Linked DNA regions of Tribolium castaneum. Each later gene encodes a partner of the first gene's protein in a complex. Links are inferred from orthologs where the notes say so. Each region holds a gene or a part of one and is shown on either strand. Other genes may lie near its edges.

What was found.
Region 2: the proteins of Ciao1 (region 1) and galla-2 are in contact, whole or in part, in a crystal structure (PDB 6TBN), measured with the Drosophila melanogaster proteins. The link is inferred for Tribolium castaneum from reciprocal best matches to the Drosophila melanogaster genes Ciao1 and galla-2. Residues at the interface, in NP_610996.1 of Drosophila melanogaster: Arg16, Trp18, Arg60, Thr61, Arg63, Phe79, Glu105, Lys107, Arg123, Asp150, Lys152, Tyr168, Asn170, Ser195, Thr196, Trp198, Thr216, Ser248, Gly249, Gln250, His251, Ser252, Arg253, Tyr256, Gly272, Asp273, Asp274, Arg277, Glu299, Gln304; in NP_648416.1 of Drosophila melanogaster: Ser74, Pro106, Lys109, Thr111, Ala124, Lys127, Gln128, Asp131, Lys132, Glu133, Arg134, Ala136, Ala137, Glu140.

What each region holds. Positions count from the first base shown.
Region 1 is NC_087395.1:25,655,778-25,668,008, reverse strand, and holds Ciao1 (probable cytosolic iron-sulfur protein assembly protein Ciao1), read left to right. Parts: upstream 1-4,702; 5' UTR 4,703-4,848; coding exon 4,849-5,481; intron 5,482-5,527; coding exon 5,528-6,049; 3' UTR 6,050-6,063; downstream 6,064-12,231. Other genes in the region: uncharacterized protein LOC135265320, read right to left, coding at 406-478; sugar transporter SWEET1, read left to right, coding at 1,221-1,390, 1,448-1,730, 1,779-1,898, 1,947-2,051; pkaap (A-kinase anchor protein 10, mitochondrial), read right to left, coding at 3,012-4,312, 4,356-4,439, 4,492-4,519; protein CNPPD1, read right to left, coding at 7,174-7,848, 8,057-8,185, 8,237-8,442, 8,493-8,592, 8,640-8,672; uncharacterized protein LOC660444, read left to right, coding at 9,195-9,519, 9,863-9,988, 10,310-10,351, 10,403-10,470, 10,686-10,982. UniProt on the Drosophila melanogaster protein: Essential component of the cytosolic iron-sulfur (Fe/S) protein assembly machinery. Required for the maturation of extramitochondrial Fe/S proteins.
Region 2 is NC_087394.1:1,669,595-1,682,821, forward strand, and holds the start of galla-2 (MIP18 family protein galla-2), read right to left. Parts: upstream 7,726-13,227; 5' UTR 7,591-7,725; coding exon 7,573-7,590; intron 1-7,572. Other genes in the region: ltl (insulin-like growth factor-binding protein complex acid labile subunit), read left to right, coding at 7,955-8,268. UniProt on the Drosophila melanogaster protein: Component of the crb-galla-Xpd (CGX) complex which is essential for proper mitotic chromosome segregation in early embryos. The CGX complex is also required for cell proliferation in developing wing disks.

The DNA.
Region 1 (12,231 bases):
AATTGGAAGTGACATAACCTCACTTTTACCATCGAATTTCGGGCCAAAATAACTTAAATTATTGTTTCAATAGGCCAAAAGCGAGTTACGATGTCGAGATAAAGCGTCCTTTATAAAATTCATAAAAAAATAAAGACAACCTCACTAACGTCTCGACAGTTTTTTTCGCAATAAAGCCCCGTTTTACGTAACTATAGCGTATAAATTTATCATAATTTGAAAAAACTAGCGTTTTTTCCCGACTGGTGCCGGAAAATTGCACAATTTTCGTAAAAATCACTCGATTGGTGTGACATAACCTCACAATATTTTTCTTCCCTTTGTATTAATTTTCCAAATAAATGTTTAAACGTGACTTGGTCCAAAACAACAATTTGGCGCTTTTCAATCAAAATGACCTCTTACCTATTTCTTTGGTGCTGATTTTGCAATTAATGATGGGTGGGGGCTTCAAATATTTTGCATTCCACAAATCCATGACTTCTTTTAAAACTGCAAACACCTACAATTGTGCGGAAAATTGCAAAATTGGCGAAAAAATTATTTTACCTTGACACTTTTATTAGAAAGTTAATTCACATTTTGTGAATAGAAACGTTATTTTGTGGGGTATGTACCAATAAGCACCATTTCTGTTGTTAGAAGTGTGATTTTTTTCCAATTATTGACGATATTTTAAGCACTTTTAGTCGGTCACAATTTTTTTGAAGTTAGGTTGACACATGTCAAAAGTGAGGTTAGGATGGGGTTGTGAGATAAGGGGACGAAGGTCACAGTCAAGGACATGACGAGAAGATCATTAATTCTTCATTATTGCGAGCGGCAATCTCAATTAAACGATTCCTGGATTGATTATTGCATCCAGTACTAAAAATTGTAATCACTACATTTTCAAAAGTGGATTTATTTGCTTGTCATCGTGTCAAGGCTTAACAGTAAATTGCGATTAGATAATAAAATATCTTATAACACTGCTGCGAATTCGTAAACGGCGAGTATTGTCTCCTTGTTGTTTAATTTGGAAGAAGGGGTTCAAATGAATTTGACCTCAATCAACCTCTAGTGCAGTGATAAATACCACACTTTTGTTGTATGTTAATCGTTCTATAACCATGGATAATTTTTTAATTCATAATTATTGTCAGTGTCACATTTCTAATCAGAATTTTTAATTCAGCGTTAATTTAAGTCGTAATTAGTTTCAGGTTGTTTAGTTCGCAATGGAGTCACTCTCGCAGACGCTACAGCCCCACAAAGACACCGTGGGGACGGTGGCCAGTTACCTCACAATTCTGCAATTTTTCTCGGGGGTTTTCATTTGTAGAGACATTTACAAAAAAGGCAACACTGACGGTGTGAATTCGATGCCGTTTGTGGGCGGTATCATGTTGTAAGTCACAATTATCTTTAGTAGAAGAAAAAAATAATAATTTTTAATTATTATAAGAGGGTTGGCAATGCTGAAATATGGTTTGATGCTTGGGGACGAAAACATGCTGCTAGTAAACTTATTCGCAATCGTCCTTAACGTAATTTACTGCATCGTCTATTATTTTTACTCGAATGACAAGTGGAAGCAAATCCTGAAGCCCCTCTCCATAAGCATGGCTTTTGTTGCGGTCTTGTGGGGCTATTGCGAGTATGAGAGCCCCTCAGTGGTCGAATTTCGCTACGGATTGATTGTCACAATACTGATGCTTGCCGTTTTGGGGAGCCCCCTTCTCGGAGTTGTACGTAATCAAAACAAAACATTTTAGCCCCCTAACTTTTAATCGCAGAAAGAAATCATCGAGAAAAAAGACGCCTCTGAAATCCCCTTCGTTCTAACATTAATGGCGACTTTGGTGACCTTCTCGTGGCTTTTGTACGCCATTATTTTAAAAAATGAATTCATGCTTGTGAGTTTGAACTAATTGTGGGAAAATTATTAATTTCTACGTTTCAAGGTTCAAAACGTGGCTGGGTTTGTGCTGTGTTTCGTCCAGTTAATTTTAATTTTTGCTTATCCAGGAGGCGGGAGACAAGTAAGCAAAAAAAAGAAGAAGCATTAAAAAAGGGCAAACAATTAAAGAATTAAGTATTGAATAATTCACATTCCAGGCAGCGGCGGCAGCGAGCTGAGTTTTCGCCAAATGTTATTTTCAACGCCTTAGTTGAATAAATCATTCAAATTAAATGGGTTTTTCATTTTGTGACCAAAATCAGCGGTCACGTGACCAAACTGAACAAATGTGATTGGTCCATTCGCGCTTTTTAACAACGAATTACATTTTAAGAAAGTTTTCTATAAACGGCCCTTTTAGAGATTTATTAACTTAACACACGTATTTTTGATACACCCTAAATAAACGGTTGAACGCACTTTTTAACCAAAATGTTTGTTGCGAGATGTTTGATTGGAGTAACTCCTGACTTACCTTACATTGAAAAAAGGTGTCGTGACTCTTGCGCAATTCGGGAAATTCGGTATTTGACCACATTTTTGCACCAAGCACTCGCACTAAGTTACACTATCCGATAAATCTTGCGGTAACAACGCTCGCATAGAAAGACACAACCCGCACTGACCTTATCATTTCGTAAGCGGCGACAAAAAAGGGTAGATATTTCAACGACAAATCGTCTTTTTTGCGAAGATTTTTTTGTCGAGATCACACAATTTTATCTCAGTGGCGTGCTGTAGAATTTTAACTAAATTTCAAATACGTTTAATTCATTATAAGACTGAAATGGAAATGTTTCAATCCAAGGAGTTACGCCTTTTAATATAAAAATAAAACCGCCAACTAGTTAAAATATTTTATTATATAAATATGTTTATACATTAAAGAAGTATTTACAAACAAATGCAATCATACAAAAATAATAAAATCCAATGACTAACCTACAGAGCCATCCGATCGCAGCGCTACCAACTCAATTCACGGGGGGAAACACAGCCTTTGAAAAAAAGTGGGAAGTTTCTATCACACGCCGCCGTACATACAACATTTTTGAGCTCTCTGACATTATCACAATGAAGATGATGGTTTTTCCTGATTTAGAGTAACATTTGTAATATCTTTGACGATCATTTCGGCCACTTGCCAGGCCATTTCTTCCTTCCTTTTATCCTCGTCGAGACTCACAAACTTCTTGACAACATTTTTAAACTTGAAACTTTTCCGATCAGGTTCTGGCTCCAAATCAGTTTCAAATTTACCCAAAGCTGTGATCCTCCCACAGGATAATCTGTGCGTTCGTCTCCTCTTCCAGAGCGAATCGGGGTCGCACAACTGCCTCGTGTCGATACTCATATCTGCGTTTTTATCCTTCTTTTTACAATTATTATTATTAAAGTTTAACTCTAACGCTAGAAATGCGCTATTTGTACTGAAACTCTTCTCGCTGCTGCAATCGGACGAAAGCGTCCGATTATTCTCGAGATTAAAATAATCGTTAGACTGAACGGTGTTTATCAACTCGGACAGATATTTGCAAAATAACTGTGACTCCAAAAACGGTTTGAGATAGTTTTTCTCCAACACTTGTTCGACGATTTTCAAGGGCAACTTGAAACAATCCAAGACAAGTCCGTTCTCCCCGCAAATATTTTGTTCGATTTCGAAGCGAACTTTATCGCCGAAACCCAACGGACAATGGGCTTGCAGCGAAAAATACTTATCGTAGAGCACAACAGCGTCATTTTGGGCCTCAATTGGGTCAAAAAACTCCTTTTGATTGGTCAAATGTTGCTGCAAGTTGGTGGCAGCGATCCAGAACTCCAACAAATTGCACGAATTCTCCTGTTCGAGAAACTCCATAAAGTAGAAAAGCGCCGTTTCGTTGTAGAGAATATCGTCAAGGGCCACTTGGCCACTCGTCAAAACATCGATCTGGTATTTGCAGAAATAATCGCTGGCTAAAAACGCCTCAAAATACTCCTTCTCCATGACTTCGGTAACGAAACTCTGAACGGGGTCCAAACAACTGGCGATTTTCTCCAAGTCACAAATGTTTTCAACGAGTTCGTTACGAACTGACTCGGGGCATTTAACATTGTGAGCGGACTCCTGAGCTATGTACTTTTTAAAAATCGCAACAGCGCCCTCAACTAGACTAGATTCACACGAATCACTCGAATTTTGGGTGTCACTGGAGTCGCAATCCGTACTTATCTCACACTTAAACGACTCAATGTCCCCCCAACAATTGATAAATTTGGCGGCGTTTCGCGCCTCCATAAACTGGGTAAAGTAGCCCAGAGCCCCCTTATCGCCCAAAACCTCGTCCAAGGTCCGACATAGCCGTGACCTCGTTGCCTCAAACTCATCTTTAAGACACAATAACCCCAATTTCTACAATTTCGTACTCACCGATATCGAGGTCCAGAGGGGGCGGCTTCGGGGGCCGGGGCCGCGGCGTCACCGCTGGGGCTGCGCATTTCGTGTCATTGCCGGCTTTGGAAACACTAATTAGGAAAACCCAAACATCAATTACGAAATTACGCACCTTTTGATTTCCTCCAAAACTGTAACATGGTTCATCGTAATGATGGGTTGTGGGGGCGGGGGCGAGTCCGATCAACCCAACAGTGCCAAGAGGCCCCAAAACACCCACAAAACCGATTGTTTTGATAAACAAAGTTGATTGTGATTCACGGCACAAAAAATGTAAACGTCAAATGAGGCTGGCCACACCGACGGCAAAAAAAAACAAAAATCGCACATTCAACCACGAAAAAAAAATTCAAAATTAAGCGAACAATTAATTTAGAAGAAACATAATTGATTTTGCACTTAAGTACGCAATTTTATTGGTAAATAATTGCAAAAAAACGCAATAATAATCATGCGTTGGCTGCATTGAATGACAGTGCGGCCAACTCAACGAAGCAAAAACGTAATAAAATCACCCATTTTTTCACGTTTTGTGGCATTGGTAAGCCCCTTAAGTACATTTGCCCCCTTTTGGCACGTCGTGCGTCCCCCGAGACCACTTTTTAACCACCCTGTCGTTGTTCGCGACCCTAACCCCAAAATGTCAAAGCTTGAGCCCCTTCAAACTTTATGCAAGCACACGGGGCGCGTTTGGGACGTGAGTTGGCACCCGAAGGGGCAAACGTTCGCCTCGTGTGGCGAAGACAAGACCATCCGAATCTGGTCGAAAGACTCGGACTCGAAGTGGTCGAATAAAGTAATTCTAACCGATGGCCACAAACGCACAATTCGGGAAATTGCGTGGTCCCCCTGTGGCAATTACCTCGCCTCGGCCTCCTTTGACACCACTACGTGCATTTGGGACAAGAAATCGGGCGAGTTCGAGTGCAATGCCACTCTTGAGGGGCACGAAAATGAGGTTAAGAGTGTTTCCTGGTCGAAGTCGGGGCGATTTTTGGCCACTTGTAGCCGTGACAAGTCGGTTTGGATTTGGGAGATTGCCGAGGAGGATGAGTATGATTGCGCGGCCGTGTTGAGTGCGCACACACAGGATGTGAAGAAAGTAGGTAGCAAGGGGGCGATTTTTGTTGTTATGGAGGTTGTTGCAGGTCGTGTGGCACCCACATGACGATATCCTCGCCTCGGCCTCCTACGACAACACGGTTAAGTTGTTCAAAGAGGACCAGTCAGACAACGACTGGGTTTGTTTTGCCACCTTACAGGGGCACGAGTCAACGGTTTGGAGCATAAGTTGGGACAAAACGGGGACAAGGATTGTGTCGTGTAGCGACGACGCCACGTTGAAAATCTGGCAAAAGGGCCAAAATACGGAGGAAACGTGGAAATGTGTGTGTACCATGTCGGGGTACCACAACAGAACCATCTATGACGTGTCTTGGAACCACTCAAGTGACTTGATCGCCACCGCTTGCGGTGACGACGCTATCAGAATTTTTAAAGAGGAGGAAGGGGGCGACTTAGAGGCCCCCACGTTTAGCCAAGTCACCTGCATTGAGAGGGCGCACGCCCAGGATGTCAACTGCGTCGCCTGGAACCCCCTTCTTAGTGATATTTTAGTGTCGTGCAGCGACGACGGGGAAATTAAATTGTGGAAATTTATCCCTGAATAAAATTGTTTGACGTTCCTTTGTTTTTCTTTGATGGATAGGCGGCTGTTTATGTCAATTGTTTACAATTGAACGTCACAGCCTACTGTCGCCCATCCATTGAGATTACTTTTTCGTTCCACAGATGTTAATAAGACGGTTGGCGGCCCTAAGTCGGATTAAAAATTACTACAGCACGGGCCCCCAAATGTCGGTCAAAGAAATCGTCAAAACTTTACAATCCTACGCCCCCTTGACCCTTGCCGAGAGCTGGGACAATGTGGGGCTCCTGGTGGACCCAATGACCGACAAACAGGTCAAAACAATTCTATTAACAAACGACCTCACTGAGGATGTGGTCAATGAAGCTAAAAACTTCCAAGCGGGGCTCATTATCTCCTATCACCCTAATATCTTTCAAGGCCTTAAAACAGTCTCTGACAAGTACGCCCCAAATTACACAGCCAATCAAAACTAATCGTTTTGTCACAGGACTTGGAAAGAACGAATCGTAATCCAATGTATTAGACATGAAATTGCGGTTTACTCGCCCCATACGAGCTGGGATTGTGTCGAAGGGGGCGTTAATGATTGGCTAGCCTCAGCGTTCGCTTTTAAAAACATTGCGCCAATCAAACCATTGGAAAATCCGAGACAAGGGGCGGGGCGCATCCTCACACTAGACACGCCCATAACTGTGGAAACCGCGGTCGCAAATGTCAAAAAACATGTCGGGGTGGGGCATCTGCGACTCGCATTGGCTAGGAACAAAGGTTTAGGTAAGCCACGCCCTTGAAATTGAGTGAAACGAAAGTGATTTTCAGATGCGAGGATTGAAACCGTGGGGCTGTGTGCCGGTTCGGGGGCTTCGGTTTTAAAGGGGCTCACGAGCGATTTGTACCTAACGGGGGAAATGTCCCACCATGAAGTCCTGGATGCTACGCAAAACGGGGTTCATGTGATTCTCTGCGAACATAGTAATTCCGAACGGGGCTTTTTGGGGCGTTTCCAGAAACAATTGAGTGATTTGTTGCAAAATTCAGTCAATATTATTGTTTCAAGTGTCGATAAAGACCCATTAATTGTAGTTTGAGTAGGCTGGTGAATAAACAATCGTGTCAAATGTTTGGTTTTATTGACCAATCAAATCAGGCTTTGAGATTTTGTAGGTAATGCAGGTACCTGTTATAAAACCCATCACCTATCGTATCCGTCCATTCTTCGTGCCACGACCTCTCCAACTGGTCTTGAATCCTAACTTTCGTCTCCTTATGCACTTGATCCTCCAAATCCAATTTCAAAAAATAATCCTTATAGAATCGTCTCAAGTCCAAAAAACCCAAAGTCGGAGCCTCAACTTCGACAAATTTCGACGTTTCGTAGAGCCATGTCATCGTGGGGGCACTCCACCAGTCCCAGGATACGTTTTGAGTCTCACTTTTGTTGCAAAACGGTGTCAGAAAACTCTCAATACTTGCGAGGAAAATTCCGACATGGAGGGGGCTCACACGGTTCGTTTCGTTGTAGAGGGGCTCCGAGGGCGGCGCTTCGATTTGCGGGCGAAGACAAGCCCCCGGAATGTGGCTAACAATCAAGACAGAGCCCAATAAAGTCAATAAGGCGGCCGTGTAAGCCGTAATGAGGATCACAGAAATGGTCAAAATGTTTTGGATGAGGTTTCGCAATTCGACGCTTGTTAAAAGACGCTCTAGTTCGGTGTAGGTGTAAAAGCCGCGTTTTCCACCCTGGTTGCGGGCCAAGGTCGTTTCGATTTCGGACAGTTTCTTCCAAAATGTCAGCTCAGTAACGAAGACTTCCCAGTCCTAAGGAAAAAAAAATTGGGATTCAATTTTTTTTAAACTCGTTCTAGCATAGTTTCATTGACCTTATGTTCGATTTTTTATTGTTTGATTTTTCCAATTTTTGTCGCGATTTATCGAGCAATAACTCCGTAACTATCAGAGATAACCCTAAGTATGATACTATTTTTTTACAATTTTTTTATTGTTTAAAACAGTCTTGAATACTTACAATAGCTTTGAGGAACTCCTTTTCTAGCTGAACCAACTGTTTGACGCTCATGCCCCCTGAAAGGGCCCATTCGTTCATAAAAACCTCATCTGCCTCACCGTCATCATAGAGAAATTTGCATGAAACCATCTAGAAACCACTTAATGTTTTTTCGCTAATTTATTGTGATTCAAATTTTACCAAAGAAACCAAAAACAAGTCAGACGAAGCCGTGCGTTCGAGATACTCAGGGCATGTCTTTTTCAAGCGTTCTAGATACAAAATCGCAATAACCAAAGAGCAAGGGGACACACAGGCATTTCTTGAAATATTCGCAGCATCGTCACAATGCAGCCTGTCCAAGGACCGGCCTTTCTGGGCTTCGGAGAACAGCTCTGCGGCTAATTCTAACAAAAACACGTTTTTTACTGACTTACAACACAACAAACACACCCACCTGTTACAGGCAGACTCAGCTCATCTGTCTTGGGGAATTTACCGTAATAGAGGGTCTTGGTGATCCGCGAAATGTACTTCTGGTGCTCCCCTATGTGTCTCTAAAGCCACAAACGCGTGATTTTTGCAAAAGGGGGCCAAGTCTCACCTTATCCTTTACCCGTTTCGGAAGCTTAGACATTGTCTTACCCACTTGGAACAGCCCCAAAACGTGTCGTATGATTCGCAATTGCGTATAATTAATCACAGATTTGCAATCAGTGTTTTTTTAATCATGGACCTTGGCAATGTCACCGGACATGCGCGTGGCCCCCTAACCTCAATTTTTTTCAAACTCTAAATAAACCAACCAAACTTGCAACTTCGCCCTTGGTGGCCATCACAGACCCAAGCACACAACTAATTTATAATCTAACCCCACAAAACCACGAAAAAGTGCCAAAAATAGCAAAATATAGGCCCAATTTCAAACTTGGCGCCGTTTCGTGACGTGACGTCAGCCCGCTAGACTCACTCACTCACAGGTGGAGTGGGATCATTCAGATGATTCCTGAGTGATTTAAATAATTTTCAAACAATTTCGAACTAAAACCGCGTTTGGGAGTGTGTGGGTGTTAGAGTCGTGCCATAGTTACAAAATGACACCCTCCGTGCGGGCCACAAGTTGATACTCCTCCCCCTAACTAAATAAATAGCCCCCACAATGGCAACAAAACTAGTGAGACACTTAGATTTAGCAAAAGTGATCAACAGGGGGGCGCACCGCATCACTTGGACGCCCCGAACTAAGCTAACGAATTTCGCTCCATGTAGATATGCACTGAAAACACAACATATCAAACTTAATTTTAGTACAAGCTGTAGATTGGGGGGCAGTGGCGGGCACGCTGAGACCACAAGCACCACTCAGGGCTTGTCTAAGTTACAAGCGCAGGAACTGGTCTTGAGACTGAACGGTGAGGAGAGAAATATCCTGATTTCGGCGCTCCAGGAGTACCAATCAAAACTAGTCAAAGACGAGTACGAAGGTAAAGAACAGGTATTTGTGTTTTTCTGTTCATTTGTAGCATTTTCGTTGCTGTTTTTGCTTAATTTCGATTATTAAACTACGATTTGTGTTAGACGTAGGCAACCCAAAAAACACACGTGTGACTAGGTTTGCCTAGTCACTGGCAAATTTTTAAACAATTAGGATTTGCGAGGTTTTTATCAGTATGTGACACTTAAAAAAGTGATAATCTCTTATTGTATTGTATGGTTAATTGAAATGACTGATAAAAAACAGGGTCAGACGTCTGAGGCTCTTTTTGCAACGATTAAGTCCTTGGATTATTTTCGCTACTTTTTTATTTTTAAATGTCCAAACTTAAGGTCAACTAGCAGCTTCACGATGGAGAAGTAAGTTTGGACGTCCGAGCAAATTGCCAAGGCTGGGAGATGTAGATCCCACGGGATCTTATTGTCCTGTTCCCGAAGACTGGTTAAAGAAGAAGTTTGGTACGAAAACAATAAAATTCCGCTCTTTTGTAGGAGCTTTGCATGAATAACTAACTGAATTATTTAAGCCAGTATTTGAGGGCCGTTTGAATTATTAATAGGGTAATTAATTACTAACGTTCCGTAGTCGCTTATTAAAGGGAGTTACATTTTTTTCTCGTAATACATGAATTTTTATGGTTTTTATCGAACGCTTTTGGGTTGTAAAATGAATGTTTTCGATTTTTTTCGCATGGCTTTGCATGTTACGAAGTGGCGAGTGAGTGAAGTGTGTCAAGGTCGTTGATTTTACCCCAATTTTGATTTATTGAACGATTTTAGCCGAATCCGTTCCTCGACCAACCAGCAGGAACCTGGTCGACAGTAAGTATCAAGTGGGCTAAAATTGGCGCCAAATTACAAAATCTATTTCAGTCGCCATAGCCAACTCGATCCCGTTCATCGGTTTCGGCTTCTTAGACAACTTCTTCATGTTGCTATTTGTAAGCACCACTTTCTCTTGTTTTCTCTCGTACAATGTCCTTTTCATTAGACAATAAGTACTAAATATCACTTGTTTTATATTAATTGAAGGAATGTCACGAAATGGCACCTTTGGCACTTCTCAATTTAGATAAAACCACCAACTTGATAACTTTTAGTACTTAAAAATGTGCCAGTTTTCTCTGTTGTAGTTTTTTTTTTATTTGTTTTTTAGGGTGATTATATTGACCTGTACTTGGGGTCGTACTTCTGCATGACTACGATGGCGGCTGCCGCCCTTGGTAACACGCTTTCGGATGTTTTGGGCATCGGCACGGCCTTCTACGTCGAACGACTCGCAAATAAGATAGGTTTTCGGCCACCGAAATTATCGCCAATTCAGATGGATATGACTTGTTCGCGAAATGCGGCGAATTTCGGACGTGTTTTGGGGGTCACCCTGGGGTGCATCCTCGGAATGTGCCCTCTGGTGTTCCGCAAAGCGAAAGACGAGGACGAAAAAGATGATTAATTGTATATACATGTGTAATTTCGTGCAATAAAAACCGTTAGATGTCCTCAATGTTACTTTACTTGCATTTATTTTTTGTATATAAGATGTGTATATAGATGTAATAAAAGACCAAAAAAATTCGCTGTTAGAGACGCTTTTATACTTGACTAAAATTCGTCCAAAAGTCACACAATCTTGTCTATTTTTCAATGCCCGTGACTTTATATACTTAATAATTTATTATACCCTCTTATAGTCTCTAATGAAGTGTTTAATAAATAGACTGTTAGAACGTAATTTCTTTTTTGTCCCTTTTCCCATCCTCGGAGCGACGTCTGTGGAAAAATCCACAATAAACAAATGGGTTGTCACGGTAATAGGTGATGTAACCATGGTAACGAATGGCGATCCAGAGGCGTCCACATTTCTCATTTATTTTAAAAGATTTAAAAGCAGTCTGTTAACTTCAATAAACGTAATAAAATAAACAAAGTTGCTCAAGTTTAGCAGATTTATTAGCAACAAAATAAAATAAACTACTGGAACGGGTCAAAGTGGCGCTGCTAATAAATGAAAAATTTAAGTATAGTTAGTGACAACGTATCGCCTGTCCTTGGTTTCGAATTATGTTGGACGCCGCATAATCGAAATAAATATTTCAATGTTTCCTGTTTCCGTTTATTACTTACATTTGCACAATGAATAATGATTTAAATTTCTAAAAACGGTGTAAAAAAAGTAGTTATATCCGGATTTTGATTGCTAAAAGGGTACAAGTCATTGATTAAAAGTGTAAACAAATAAAATAACGCTAAAAGTTATACTATCTTCTTTCCGGTTTATTTATCTATGACCAGTGGCGTAACAAGGAATTGGGTTTGGTATTTTGATAGAGCGGTTTCACAAATTTTAAACTTGTAATTGTTTAAAATAAATAAAATAAAATTAAAAAAATCAGTATTATAGTTTCTTTCTTTAGTATTTAGTACCTATATGAAAACAAATTAAAAGTAAAGTAAGTTTCACTACTTTTTGTTCAATTTATCAGATGGTTCATTTCTCAAAAATAAATTCATTAAACGCAAAAAATCAATTACTTTAAAATTAAAAAAAGAAATATCTTATAATAACTTCGAAACAATTAAAAAAACGATATTTTGACCTTATACTTCCACAGTAAGGAGAGCAAAAAACAGTTTTGAGGTTACGTTGCCATGGCAACGACAAATCTACGACTTAACACAGGTTATAAACTATAAATAAAATT
Region 2 (13,227 bases), on another chromosome or scaffold:
GGCCCCAAAGTCATTCAAAGACGCTCAAGCGACGGATTTGCTTCATTTTTCCAGTGGTCAAGTGATTTTATACCCAAACCGTTGAAGATAGAAATATGGTGTCGCGGACTTTTTTGTAGAAAATTTAATTCTCTACAACTTTGATTCTCACAATTTTTTTGTATCTTCAGCCGTAATTACAGCGTTCGCAAAAATGTAAGATGGAACGCAAATTGATAATTCTAAGTGATAACTTTTTGCGCACCGTCGCATATTTATCAAAACGCTGGGAATACGGTTAGAGATACAAAAAAAGTGTAAGGAACAAAGTTGTAGAGAATTAAATTTCCTACAAAAAAGTCTGTGACACCACATTTCCATCTTCTATAATTTAGGTATAAATTTAAAATTTTTCAAAAATTCAAATTTTTGAATGTTTTTGGGGCCTAAACCGTTGACAAAAGAAATACAGTCTTGCCGATTTGTTTTGTGTTCAGAAAATGTTGCAAGTTTGTATCCTAACTTATAGTCCTCCGTAGTCCGAAGTTAGTAAAAAAATAATAATTTTTCAATTATTTCCAGGTCAATAGTTGCAGCAAATTATCTCATTTATTTTGCGTTGTGAAAAAAGAGTTTCAGGTCTTGTATAATAAAACCCAACGTGTCAACAACATTCCGCAAGCTCTCTAAATAGTGTTTTTTTTCATGTGTTGTTTATAGCCGTCCCCAGCATCGGGCAATTAATATATCAATATGTAAATAAAAATAAAAGTGTGTAGAAATATTCAGGCGCCGGCGTCAGATTGTGTCATAAGAATGCTGTTATACCTAAATCAGGGTTCTTGACGTCTCTCAGATGCCTGTTATCTAGATTATAAAATCGAAGCAATCAATCAATCGTCCGCATCTAAGTCGTGTGTCTTTTTTTGGTCACAGAGGCGCCAACCGAAACCCCCTATCGATACCCTCTGACCCCATCCGAATATCATAAATAAGATTTTAGGGGTTTTTTGGTGCCAGTAGCGCTGATTTTATGGGTCTGATGGCATCCAACATGATTGATAAACGCAGATAATTGAAAAAGTGGCAATAAAATTGTCGTAAAATAATTCAGATCGAGCCGGTTTATTGAGCAATTTGTTAATAATTAATACGTGACGTCTGCGATTAGCGAACGATTTTCTTAAGGGGGTCGCGTACGTCACCAGGCGGCGCCACCAACGCATTTATAAATTTGGTAACGAATGATTATTTTTAACCGATGGCTGGAATTTTCGGAATTTCGAACGAGTGAGGTGATTATTTATGAAGTGGTGGAATTAATTTGCACGACACTTATGCATATTTGGGACCGGTTCGGAGGATTATACGCCCGAGAGTGCCACTGACCTAGGTCACAAGCTTTTTTGCACAGAGGAAATTCATCAAAATTATTACAAATGATAATAAAAAAATGTCAATATTAATGAACGATCTTTTTACAAAAACAGGAAAAATAAAAACATCATTTTTATTGCAATAAATTTCACCAACTACGAACTACGTTTTGTCAAAAACTTAAAATTGTCTGTTACACAAAAAATCAGTAAAGTTAATTAACTACTTTGTTGTAAAATTAATTCACTTTTCCGTAAGAATTAATATTTTTCATCTTAACCTAGAAAATAAATCACTGAATCGAAAAATCGAAATATATATATATATATATATATATATATATATATATATATATATATATATATATATATATATATATATACAGGTATTAGTACTAAAATCAGGCATTTCTGTATTATCAATTTATTAAAAATTTTTCATTCAATTAACAATTTTTTTTGTATAATTTGCCACTAACTAATTTTTCCACAACTCCTGAAGTACTGTTTCTAGTTTTGTTATTATTTACTAAAATTTAAGAGTGAAAAAGTAAGTCATTTTTTTAAAATAATGCTTTAAAAAACCACAGGCTGTTCCGTCTAAACCAACATTAAAAGTATAGAAGGTTCTAATAAAGATATTTATCTGAAAGTTGGTACCCAGCCATAATCCGTTAAGTTCTGCTCAATAAAAATATTTTTAAGATGGCGGCACTTCCGGCTATACCGGAAGTCGCAATCACCTTTCTTATTTTAAATGGAAAGCTATGTTTTTCACTACGTTTTTGGATTAGTTGAGTTATTTTAAGGCCGTTTTTATCAGCTTTCCCTAGACCTAGGTTTAACCGTTTCCGAGATATTTAAGATTTTTTGAAAATTTTTGGATTTGCACCTGATACGTAAAAAATCGGTAACTCTCTTAGTTTTAGAGATTTCTAAATCATATTTGGAGAATTAAAAAATGAAAGCCTATATTTGTTCTCCAGTGTGTTCAAAATTGGAAAAGAAATTAACAAACCCAAAAATTTTAAGGTTAAATTTGGACAACTTCAAGTACCCATAACTTAAGTTTTTCAAATGGGATGTTCTAATTTTTATTTTACTAGATTGAGGAGAATTTTTTTCTGGATCGATCTGTATTAGCATTCCCTATACCCATCTGTGATAATTTTCAAGTTATGTTGTTTTTTTTGAAATTGTAGACAATTTCATACTAACCACAGTGATTTATGCATATTTTGCCGTAAAAACATTTCTGATTAAACAAACGTCGAATTCTGTTGTTCGTCCCGTGAAAACAAAATAAATTTAAATATTGGTTTAAAAAACTTAATATTTTTTTCTTGTTTTCATCAGTTTTTGAAAAAAGAGCTGATAAATTTCTCAATCCTCACAAAAAGTTATTGTAACTTGAAAACTGTTAAACAAAAGAAATGCTCATACAGATCGATGCAGAATTAAATTGTCTACGATTTATTGAAATAAACCTTGTGGCTTTAGATTTGAAAAAATTGAGTTATGGGTGTTTAAAGTTCTGAAAATTTAACTTTAAATATTCGGGGTTTGGTATTTTTTTTTTAGAAATTTGAAAACACCAAAGGAAAGATCTAGGCTTCCTCTTTCAAATAAGTTAAAAAATATTTCCAGATTTTTAAAAATAGCAGAGTTATCAATTTTTGAACTCGAAGGTGCAAATTCCAAAAAAAAACCCTAAATATTTCGTAAACAACTAAATTTAGGTATCAAAATGCTTATAAAAACTACCTTAAAATAACTCTAGTAATCTAAAAACGTATCAAAAAATAAAGTTTTCCATTTAAAATAAGAAAGTTGATAGCGACTTCCGGTATAACTGAAAGTGTCACCATCTTGAAAAAGTTTGAAAAATTCATATAAAATATGGAAAATTAAGAAATAAAAAGCTGAGAATAAGCTTGAAAACTAGGAAACTACGAGATTGAAAGACTGAAAGCCTGAGAATATAAAAAATGAGAAGTTTGTTAAAAGTTGAATAAGTTGAAAAAGTTAAATAGAACACCCAGTTTTTTGTTTTTTTTTGTAAATAGAGTAGCAATCGACTTTGAAACATTTTACCTTTAATTAGACGTAACGTGTAAATTTATTTTTTTTATTTTCTCAATTACGGCAAAATTATTAAAAAAAATTAAACTACTTTGAGTTAAATCCACGTAAAATGATCCGGGGAATCGACTGACGTCGAGCAAATTGCAACGTTCATAATGACTTTTAAGTTATCAATACATATAAATTTTAGCTATTTTTTCCAAAAAATCGACGTTTTTAAGAAATCTAGAAGATTCTAAAGCCATACTAAAGTCCTTAAAACTTTGCTAAAAATTTGATTATTTTAAACATTATTTAGGCAGTTCATTAGAATTTCGGTCGTAATTTTGGCTCTGTTTAATGTATTTTTATTGTATCTGAAATTGTTTACTGTGTTTTGGAATTTTCACTCGAAACATTTGGAAAAATTCAGATTATTTTAACTAGATCTAGCAACGTGAAATAAATTAAACATTTGCTATCAAACAAACAGACTAAAATTGGGTCATAGTCTAATAAGATATCATTGCAAAATTTTAAACTTTTATCAACAAAGAACAAACGTTACGATTTTTTGCCTCAACTTTTTCGTTACTAAATGCCAATTGTATCAACGTGTCTCAGGTCTGTGAAAAATGGTGGATGCGCCACAATGCAGCTAAAAATAAACTGAGTGCAATAAATCGCAAGGGTTTAGTGTGTCGTTTTTTTTAAATGTGTCAAAGAGAAGGCGGATGAAGCGTCCGTTCTATCTATTAATAAATAAAATCTCGCCGAGTCATAAAATTTATTTTGTGAATAAGTAGAATTCCAACGTGATTATCATTGATTTACTCCTGTGTTTACGTTCAGCGACGTCGAAAATTCCTAATAATTTAGCGCCGCAATGAGAATGTATAAGAGTTTCGGACGTTCGTGTGTAAAATATGTATATTTAACTCGATTTATGGGTTGATGTTTTTGTATTCCTTGATCCAGAAGCGATGTATTTACACAATTTACAGCACGCTTTACATTTTATGAGCGATAATTTGATCGATTTGTTGTGGAAACACGACACCGATAACAATATTTAGATGGCATAAAGGAGACACAAGTCTGAGGACTGATCTAAATTTTCAATTGATAACTGAAACGTAAACAATGAATGAGGTGGACAAGCTGGGCTTTATCTAGAGTCAACAGGTGCTGACACAAACTCAAAATTCATTTAACAAATATTCAAACTTTTGATTTTTTTAAATGAAAGAATCATTTATTTACTTATAAATAATTAATTAAATTAATTAAACATTATTAAAAAATAAGGTGTTATTTTACTCCCCTTACTTCATTTTTGTGCGAAATTGCATAAAAAATAAAGCAAAAAAATCACAAAATCGGATCGAAATAAATTTAATTTCTACGATTATTTTGCCCGATTCGTTTTTGGATAAGAAATTCATTACACAAAAAGTTAAAACAAATGTGTTTTTAAACTTGTCTTGAGATTTCGCTAGAGATGATAAAAAAAGAGCACATTTAGTCTAGCACTTGTTTTTTTCAATTGTTTTAACGCACATTCCAGTCAGAAACCTTATTATTTCACAAAATACTCTTAAAAAGAAGCCTTAAAGTCATTAAAATAGACCAAAAATGGCAAAATTTTTTCGATTAATTTCGCTTGAAGTGAAATTTATTCAAAAATAATTGTGAGAAACAGAGAAACATTTCGCAAAATTTATTCGAATAAAATTTTTTTTTTAGATTATTTGAACAAAAACTGATTGTTTTGCAAGATTCCCTCACAAAATCCAGAAATGTACAAATTAGGTCAAAAATCTTTACATATTTTTTTATTTTGTATTTTTATTTTTTTAGACAACTTATAATGGAAGATGAGAAGGTGGAATAAGACGCTCCTAGACCTTTTAGTTTCGCCGTAATCAGCGTTTGAAAAGTGAAAAAAATGTCATAATTTTTGCGTTTTTCTCGGAAACTATAATACTAAAAATTGTGAATGTTTTCAGAATTTTTCGACCATTCCTAAATTAAATATTATTAAAATATATTGCTTAATCTAAATTATTGATATAGATGATACGTCGTATGATTTTATTTATGACGGAACTCAGCTTATTTTATTTATTAAACAGCAAAAGTATGTACTTTATATGCTTAGGCAATAATGTCAGGATGACTTGATTAAATAGAAAATGGTTTAACAAATTATGATTTGTTAGTGTTAATTTTTATAATAAAAAATATTCACAATAATGTAATGTTTTCTGATATGACCTAGTCCTAGCTAAATGTGTTGTTTTTTATATTATATTTTTGCACGTTTAGAAAAAAAATATAATAAAAATTCATATTACTATTTAATAATAATTCGGCTCACTACGTTGGGTTTTTTGAATTGATTAATTATCTTTTGGAACTAGTGTCATTTTTTTTATGCACTAAACAACATTCATCGTTCATTGTTCGTTTTAGAATTATAATTTTATGAAGCGAATTAATATTAATCGTAGAAAAATTCTACAAAAATTCACATGTAAAAAAAATAATTAAGTATGAAAAAGAAAAAGAAACAGAAACAGAAACAGAAACAGAAATAGAAATAGAAATAGAAATAGAAATAGAAATAGAAATAGAAATAGAAATAGAAATAGAAATAGAAATAGAAATAGAAATAGAAATAGAAATAGAAATAGAAATAGAAATAGAAATAGAAATAGAAATAGAAATAGAAATAGAAATAGAAATAGAAATAGAAATAGAAATAGAAATAGAAATAGAAATAGAAATAGAAATAGAAATAGAAATAGAAATAGAAATAGAAATAGAAATAGAAATAGAAATAGAAATAGAAATAGAAATAGAAATAGAAATAGAAATAGAAATAGAAATATTTAATTTCAAAGATCTTAATTCTGCGATTAACTGATTATATCGGGTGGGTCAAAAGTCGTGGATAGGCTCTTAAGAGCAGCTAGATGGAGCTATACAGAACACTATTTTCGATAAAAAAATCACAAAACCTTTCATTTGGCTGAAATTAAAAACAAAAAATGGCAACGCCGTACAAGTACACCTATTTTTATACATTTAAAAAAATATTAACCAAAAGTATTACCATGTAACATTACTAAATGTTGCCAAATTAAAAAAAACACCAATAACTTAAAAACAATTTTTCAGAAAATTGGGTTTTAATAATGACAACAATACCTTAAAACTTTGAACTAAACAATATTAAAGTATCAAAAGGTAGCATAATTAATTCGCTATTGTTTATATTTATTTTTGGCCATAAAACTTGGAACATCCTGTACAGGCTACAGGGTGCTCAAAAACTGGCGCACCAACTCAGTGGTACGTTATTGAGAAGCAAGTCCATATTACGGGAAAAATGTTGAAAAAATTCCCAAAGTTATATTTTAAAAAATCTGGAGCTACAAACTTATTGTGTTAACTTCTTTAGTTTTCATTGTTTTTTTATATTTTTATGTTTCATACCAGGTAATCGTTCCGTAACAAAACGATGAATAATTATTTTAAAATTTACTATCAGATTTTAGCAGTTTTTTTAATTTAAAATTCATCCAAAAAATCACAATGTGTAGATGTGCCAACACTGGGAATTATTTCCTAGGAAACCGTTTCAAAAATAATTTATTTTTATTGTTGCTCAAATTCTATTACGATCACGACTGTTGGGCAACGTTGCCACATATCACTTATTTAAAATTCGTTATTTATCAATAACTTTAATACAAATAGTTTTTTTACTATTTTTACCATTATATGTAACCACTTCTCTACCACACACCATTGAGTTGGTGCGCCAGTTTTGGAGCACGCTGTATATACTATATACATGCAGGTAGATTCAAAAAATCTCTCGGATGGTGATAAAGCACAAAGTGACTTTAATTAGTTTAGAAACATCAATATTAAAAGCTACACCCATAAATGCAATTCCATTAAAAAAAAACATACTCGTAAGTTTGAATTGTAGCAAATCTCAAAAACATCTTGTATGCCTACTTGAAAATAATTTTGGATTAATGAAAAAAAATAAATTTTCTTACATTTACATGGGACAGCCTGTGTTGGTAATTTTTTGGTCACCTGTATTTTTCTAAGGAAAATAAAACTTAATACTTACGTTTCCATCAGTCGGCATCGAAAAAATCCTGACACAAAAAAACCCACTTACCACTGAGCACTAGGTAGTGAGCGTTTGCGCGTCCAAGGGTTTGTTGGGTAAGTGTGTGAAGGTAAGGTAAGAAGGGCCTGCGGCTTCGGCGCCAATCTAAATGAGGAAGTGCAGTCGTTCGTCGGGCGCCACGTCCTCCTCGCAATAATAAATCTCGTTCTGGCCGAATGCATCTAATTATCTTGGTGGAGTTGCACACACGTTGTACCCCGGGGACACCGCTAGAGATATGGCGGGCAGTGGCGCCGCGCTCCACTCAAGAAAATTTAGGCGCCACCGTCACTCAGTCACACATTGACCGGCTCAAAGCCAACACCAAGGGCCTCCTCCGATGACAACCGCCTTCACCATGTCGGCCCTGCTGCTCTCCATCCTGGGCCTCTCCGTGGGCATCCCCCACTGCCCCATGTGGAAGGAGATCGCGCCCTGCACCTGCCGCATGGACTCCACCAAGCTCACCACCATCCACTGCGACAAGATGACCTCCTACGACCAGGTGGTGCGCCTCCTCAAGGGCCACTTCGCGCCCGAGGACCGCGTCTCGCTCAAGATCTCCTTCAGCAAGCTGGACGACCTGCCCTTCAGGGCCTTCAACGAGCTCAACATCTCCATCGAGAACCTCAAGCTCAACCACGACGGACTGGGGTAAGGGTGATAAATTGACGTAGTGATGAGGATGACAAATGACAGGCGAAACAAACAGATAACCTCCGACCTTCTCATGTTTCAATTACAGCGTCGCCTGCTCGATTATTATCGCTGGTAAATTCATTTTCCCGGAATTACTCGCTAATGGCACGATATCGTCGCTTTAATGAATGAAATCTCTGACATCGACGCGGTTTTTGGAAGCGCTGCTGATAAAGACATTCGCAAGAAATAACAAACGGTAATTGATTTGATGATTGCTTCTCTGAAGCGACTTTGCGGACTTAAATCGGCACACGTTTTCACTAAATTGACCATAATTGCACTTTTCCTTTTGGATTTACTCGGAATTCGGACGTTTATACAAATTTGGACAACCCTTATTAAGCAATTTGGCACTTAGTCAAGCTTTTTTCATTTATTTTTTCACTTTCCAATATTAAAAAATGGATAATTTTGCTGTTTTAAAGTTTGAAAAGCCCTAGATAAATCTGTTTTCATATATGATTGTGTTGTGTACTATTGACATATTTTTAAATTTTAGACAGCTCTAGTACAGTTGGGTACAATTTGCTACTGACTTTTTGACACTTATTGCGTGTGCATAATTTATTCTGAGCTCATATTTTATTTTTGATATTACTATATTTTTTTAATTTGGACAACCCTAATAAAAAGAATATATTATATAATTTATTTTTGACGTTTGAACTAACAAATCAATGTTATGTTCTTTAAAACATTAATTTGATATTGACAAACCTAACAATAATTTTCTTTTCATTTGAAATATTATAAATTAAAACATACACGTTTTTGATGTTGAAAATGTTCAATATACTTATAATTTGAGATTTTGTTACGAATTTGCTAAACCTTAGTCTTCTCAGAATTTAAAATATTAAATTTAATTAATTTGATATTTTTCAATTTTGGACAGCCTTAAGATAATCTTTTTTTTGGACAACCCTTAAATGTTGTTGATAATTTGTCCCGTTTTTATATTTCTACTGCAAAAAAATGTTTAATTTAAATTTTTTATTTGAAGTCCCTTAAAAAAATTGACGTTTTTTACAATTTTGGACAGCCTTAAGATAATGGAATAATCTTTTTTTGGACAACCCTTAAATATTCTACATAATTATTGTTGATATTTAAACAATTTGTTCCGTTATTATATTTCTACGGCAAAAAATGTTTAACTTAATTTTTTTATTTGAACTCCCTTAAAAAAATTCACATTTTTTTACAATTTTGGACAGCCTTAAGATAATGGAATAATCTTTTTTTTTGGGCAACCTTTAAATATTCTACATAATTATTGTTGATTTTAAACAATTTGTCCCGTTTTTATATTTTCTACGGCAAAAAAATGTTTAACTAAATTTTTTATTTGAACTCCCTTAAAAAATTCACGTTTTTTACAATTTTGGACAGCCTTAAGATAATGGAATAATCTTTTTTTTTGGACAACCCTTAAATATTCTACATAATTATTATTTTTATATATTTACCCCAAAAAATTACATACATTTGAACTTCCTCAAAAAATCTCACTTTTTTGTGATTTTGTAAGTCTTTAATTTAATGTTTTCTTTAACAAATTTCGAGAACCTTGGCAATAATAACTATTTACTGTTACTTTTCTTTTATTTGGAATGTTTTTATAATATCTTTGAAATAACAAATCATAGAAACTTTTTTCGTCTATATATTTATATTAAGTAATAATAAGTATAAATAACATTTTGTAACTAACATTTGTACCTATTTTAAAACCCTAATTTAGCATTAAATTTTAATTAATTTGACATGATTTTACAGCCATAAAATACTCGAACAATTATTTTCTTTATTGGGAGAATCTTAAAACCATCTTACGTAATAACAATTGTCTAACTGTCTATTTCTGCCAAAAAAGATGTTTCAAAAAATATTTGGACTTTATTCAAAAACTCATTTATTAATAATTACTTATCTTTTATGTAACTAATTATTATTTTCTTTGACTAATTTTAGGAAACATTAATTTTAATTTGGAGTGTTTTATAAGAAAAGTTCTGAAAATGTCAAATGATACATCTGGACAGCCCTGGAACAATGTCATATAATTAATTTTTGACATTCCTTCACGTAGTGGAATTATTTTCTTCAACATCTTCGTACTTTTATCTTTTTTTTTTCAAAATTTGCCTTAAAAAGTCAGATCATACTTTGATATTTTTTTAAAAATATGGATGGCCCTAAAATAGTCCACATAATTTATTATTGGCCTCTTTATTTTTTTTCGTTTTTTTGTTTCTAACCATATTCGTTTTTTTTAAATTTGTACGCTCTTTACATTTTTTTGTCAAAATTAAAAACTTTTGACAATTTTTTTAAATTTGGACAACCCTAATTAAGTTAAAAAAATTTTTTTAGTTTTGTTTGGACCTTATGTAATCATATTTTAAGAAATCACAAATTTTGGTGTCACTTGTGTCTAATTTTTTATTTATGTTATATATTTTTAAACACTAATCTGAATTAAACTCCGAAAATCGTTACCTTTGACTGTTTCAGATGTTCTAAGTGATAAAAGAGAATAATTTTATGACCACGGAAAATAGAATTATAACATTTTTCTAAGCAGTTATTTTTTTATTTGGACACAACACTGCTAAAATTGACCTTAGGCTGGTCCAGCTAATAGGAAAAGTGATCCAGATTTAAATGATTTGACCTAATTTTTGATTGATATTTCGTCAAGTGTTGGCAACAATTTCGATCAGTTAAAGTTTGGTGGAATTTTGCATTTTGTTCTCTGATTTGTTATTTATGAACAATTGACGTATTCCGATTTATAAATCTTTGATCGCATCAATGCAAATAAAAGGTTAAATGGGTTAATAGGCAAATGTCGAATCAATTTGGAGCTGCAAGCACCTGTTATTGGCTTGATAACGAATAACAAACTGACAATGATTGTGGAAATTGTGGAGTAAATCAAATTGGAAATGTGGCAAAAACTCGATGTAAACATGTTAATTCGGGCGTTCAGATTGACCATTGTGTGTACTATAATGGGACGGTTGAAACAGATGAGTATATTTCCAGAGATGTTGGCGCCATCGGCTATTAGACCATTTGATCAGATAAATTTTTAAACGGACGTGCTCGCAATAGCAACGAGACGAACACAAAAAATACGTGCACTGGCTTTTAACAATTTTCTGGCTTTATATAATTTATTACAGATCGAACTTTGATTTTTATTACAACCGCTTTTTATTGCTCGATAAAAGGTTGAGAAAACTCATAATCATGCTGCAAACCTTTGGTATAGAACTGTTTACCGATTTCGAAACACGTGACAAATTATTGCGACTATCACGAACAACAAATTCATTTCAAACTTAATTTCACTAAAGCTTTAAAAATATATTGACCTGAATTTTAATTTTTTTTTAAAGAGTTTTGACAATGACAATTGTTTTGACAATTTATGAATATTTTTCTTCGTAATTTATAATGTTTTGAATAATTGTTATGATTGTTTCAGTTTTTTTTATTGCTATTTCTTTTATATATTGTATTGTATTGTTTATACAGGGTGCTCAAAAAATGGCGCACCAACTCAATGGAGTGTGGTAAAGAATTGCTTACATATAAAGGTAAAAATAGTAAAAAAATTCTTTGTATTACAGTTATTCATAAATAACTAATTTTAGGTAAATGATATGTGGCAACATTGTCTAACAGTCATGATCGCAATAAAATTTGATCATCAATAAAAATAAATTATTTTTGAAACGGTTTCCTAGGAAATAACTCCCAGCGTTGGCACATCTACAAACTGTGATTTTTTTGATGAATTTTAATTTTTTAAATTAAAAAAACTGCTAAAGTCTTATGGGAAATTTAAAAATAGTTATTCATCGTTGTGTTAGGGAACGATTACTTAGTGTGAAACATAGAAACATTAAAAAATAATGAAAACTGAAGAAGTTAACAAAATAAGTTTGTAGCTCCAGATTTTTTTAAATATGACTTTAGGAATTTTTTCAAGATTTTTCCCGTGATCTACACATGCTTCTCAACAACGTACCACTGAGTTGGTGCGCCATTTTTTGAGCACCCTGTATATTGTAATGACTACTCGTCCATTTATTACATTGTCTACTATAGATTAAAAAATCTGATGGAAATAAATTATATTATTATTTATTATTATTATTATCATCATTATTATTATTATTATTATTATTATTATTATTATTATTATTATTATTATTATTATTATTATTATTATTATTATTATTATTATTATTATTATTATTATTATTATTATTATTATTATTATTATTATTATTATTATTATTATTATTATTATTATTATTATTATTATTATTTCTCAATACAAGTCGCCAAATTATTTTTAACAGATTTTAAAGCAATTTTAAGCCTCGATGAGTCTAATTCGAAGAATAAAATGTTGTATTCAGCTCGTCGAATAAAATTTATTACCATTTAAACTGTCTTTTTAGAAACATTAACAGTTAAGTGTCTTCTCTGATAACTCAAAAAATATTCGACAATGTACATTAAACGATCAATCAAAAAATTTTCAAAACTGTAAAATTTACTGAGGTTTTTGGCGTTTTTTTTTGACAAAATTTAGTGAAATAAATGAGTTTCTAACTGAAAAATTAACGACAAAATTTTTCAAAAGTTTTGTGGTTCTGGTTGAAAAAGTGCAGAAACGTTTTGAAAACAAAAAAACGTGTGCGTTTTGATCTAACTTGGTATTTTTTGAATTCGAATTTCGCGGAATGAGTGAATTTCTGATAAAAAATGCACTAGAAACTAAAATAAATGTGCAAAAATGCTTGAAAAAGTTTGGATATTTTTGACTAAAAATTCACAAATTTGGTGATTTTTTATATTTATGACGAAATTCGGCATAAATTGCGGGTT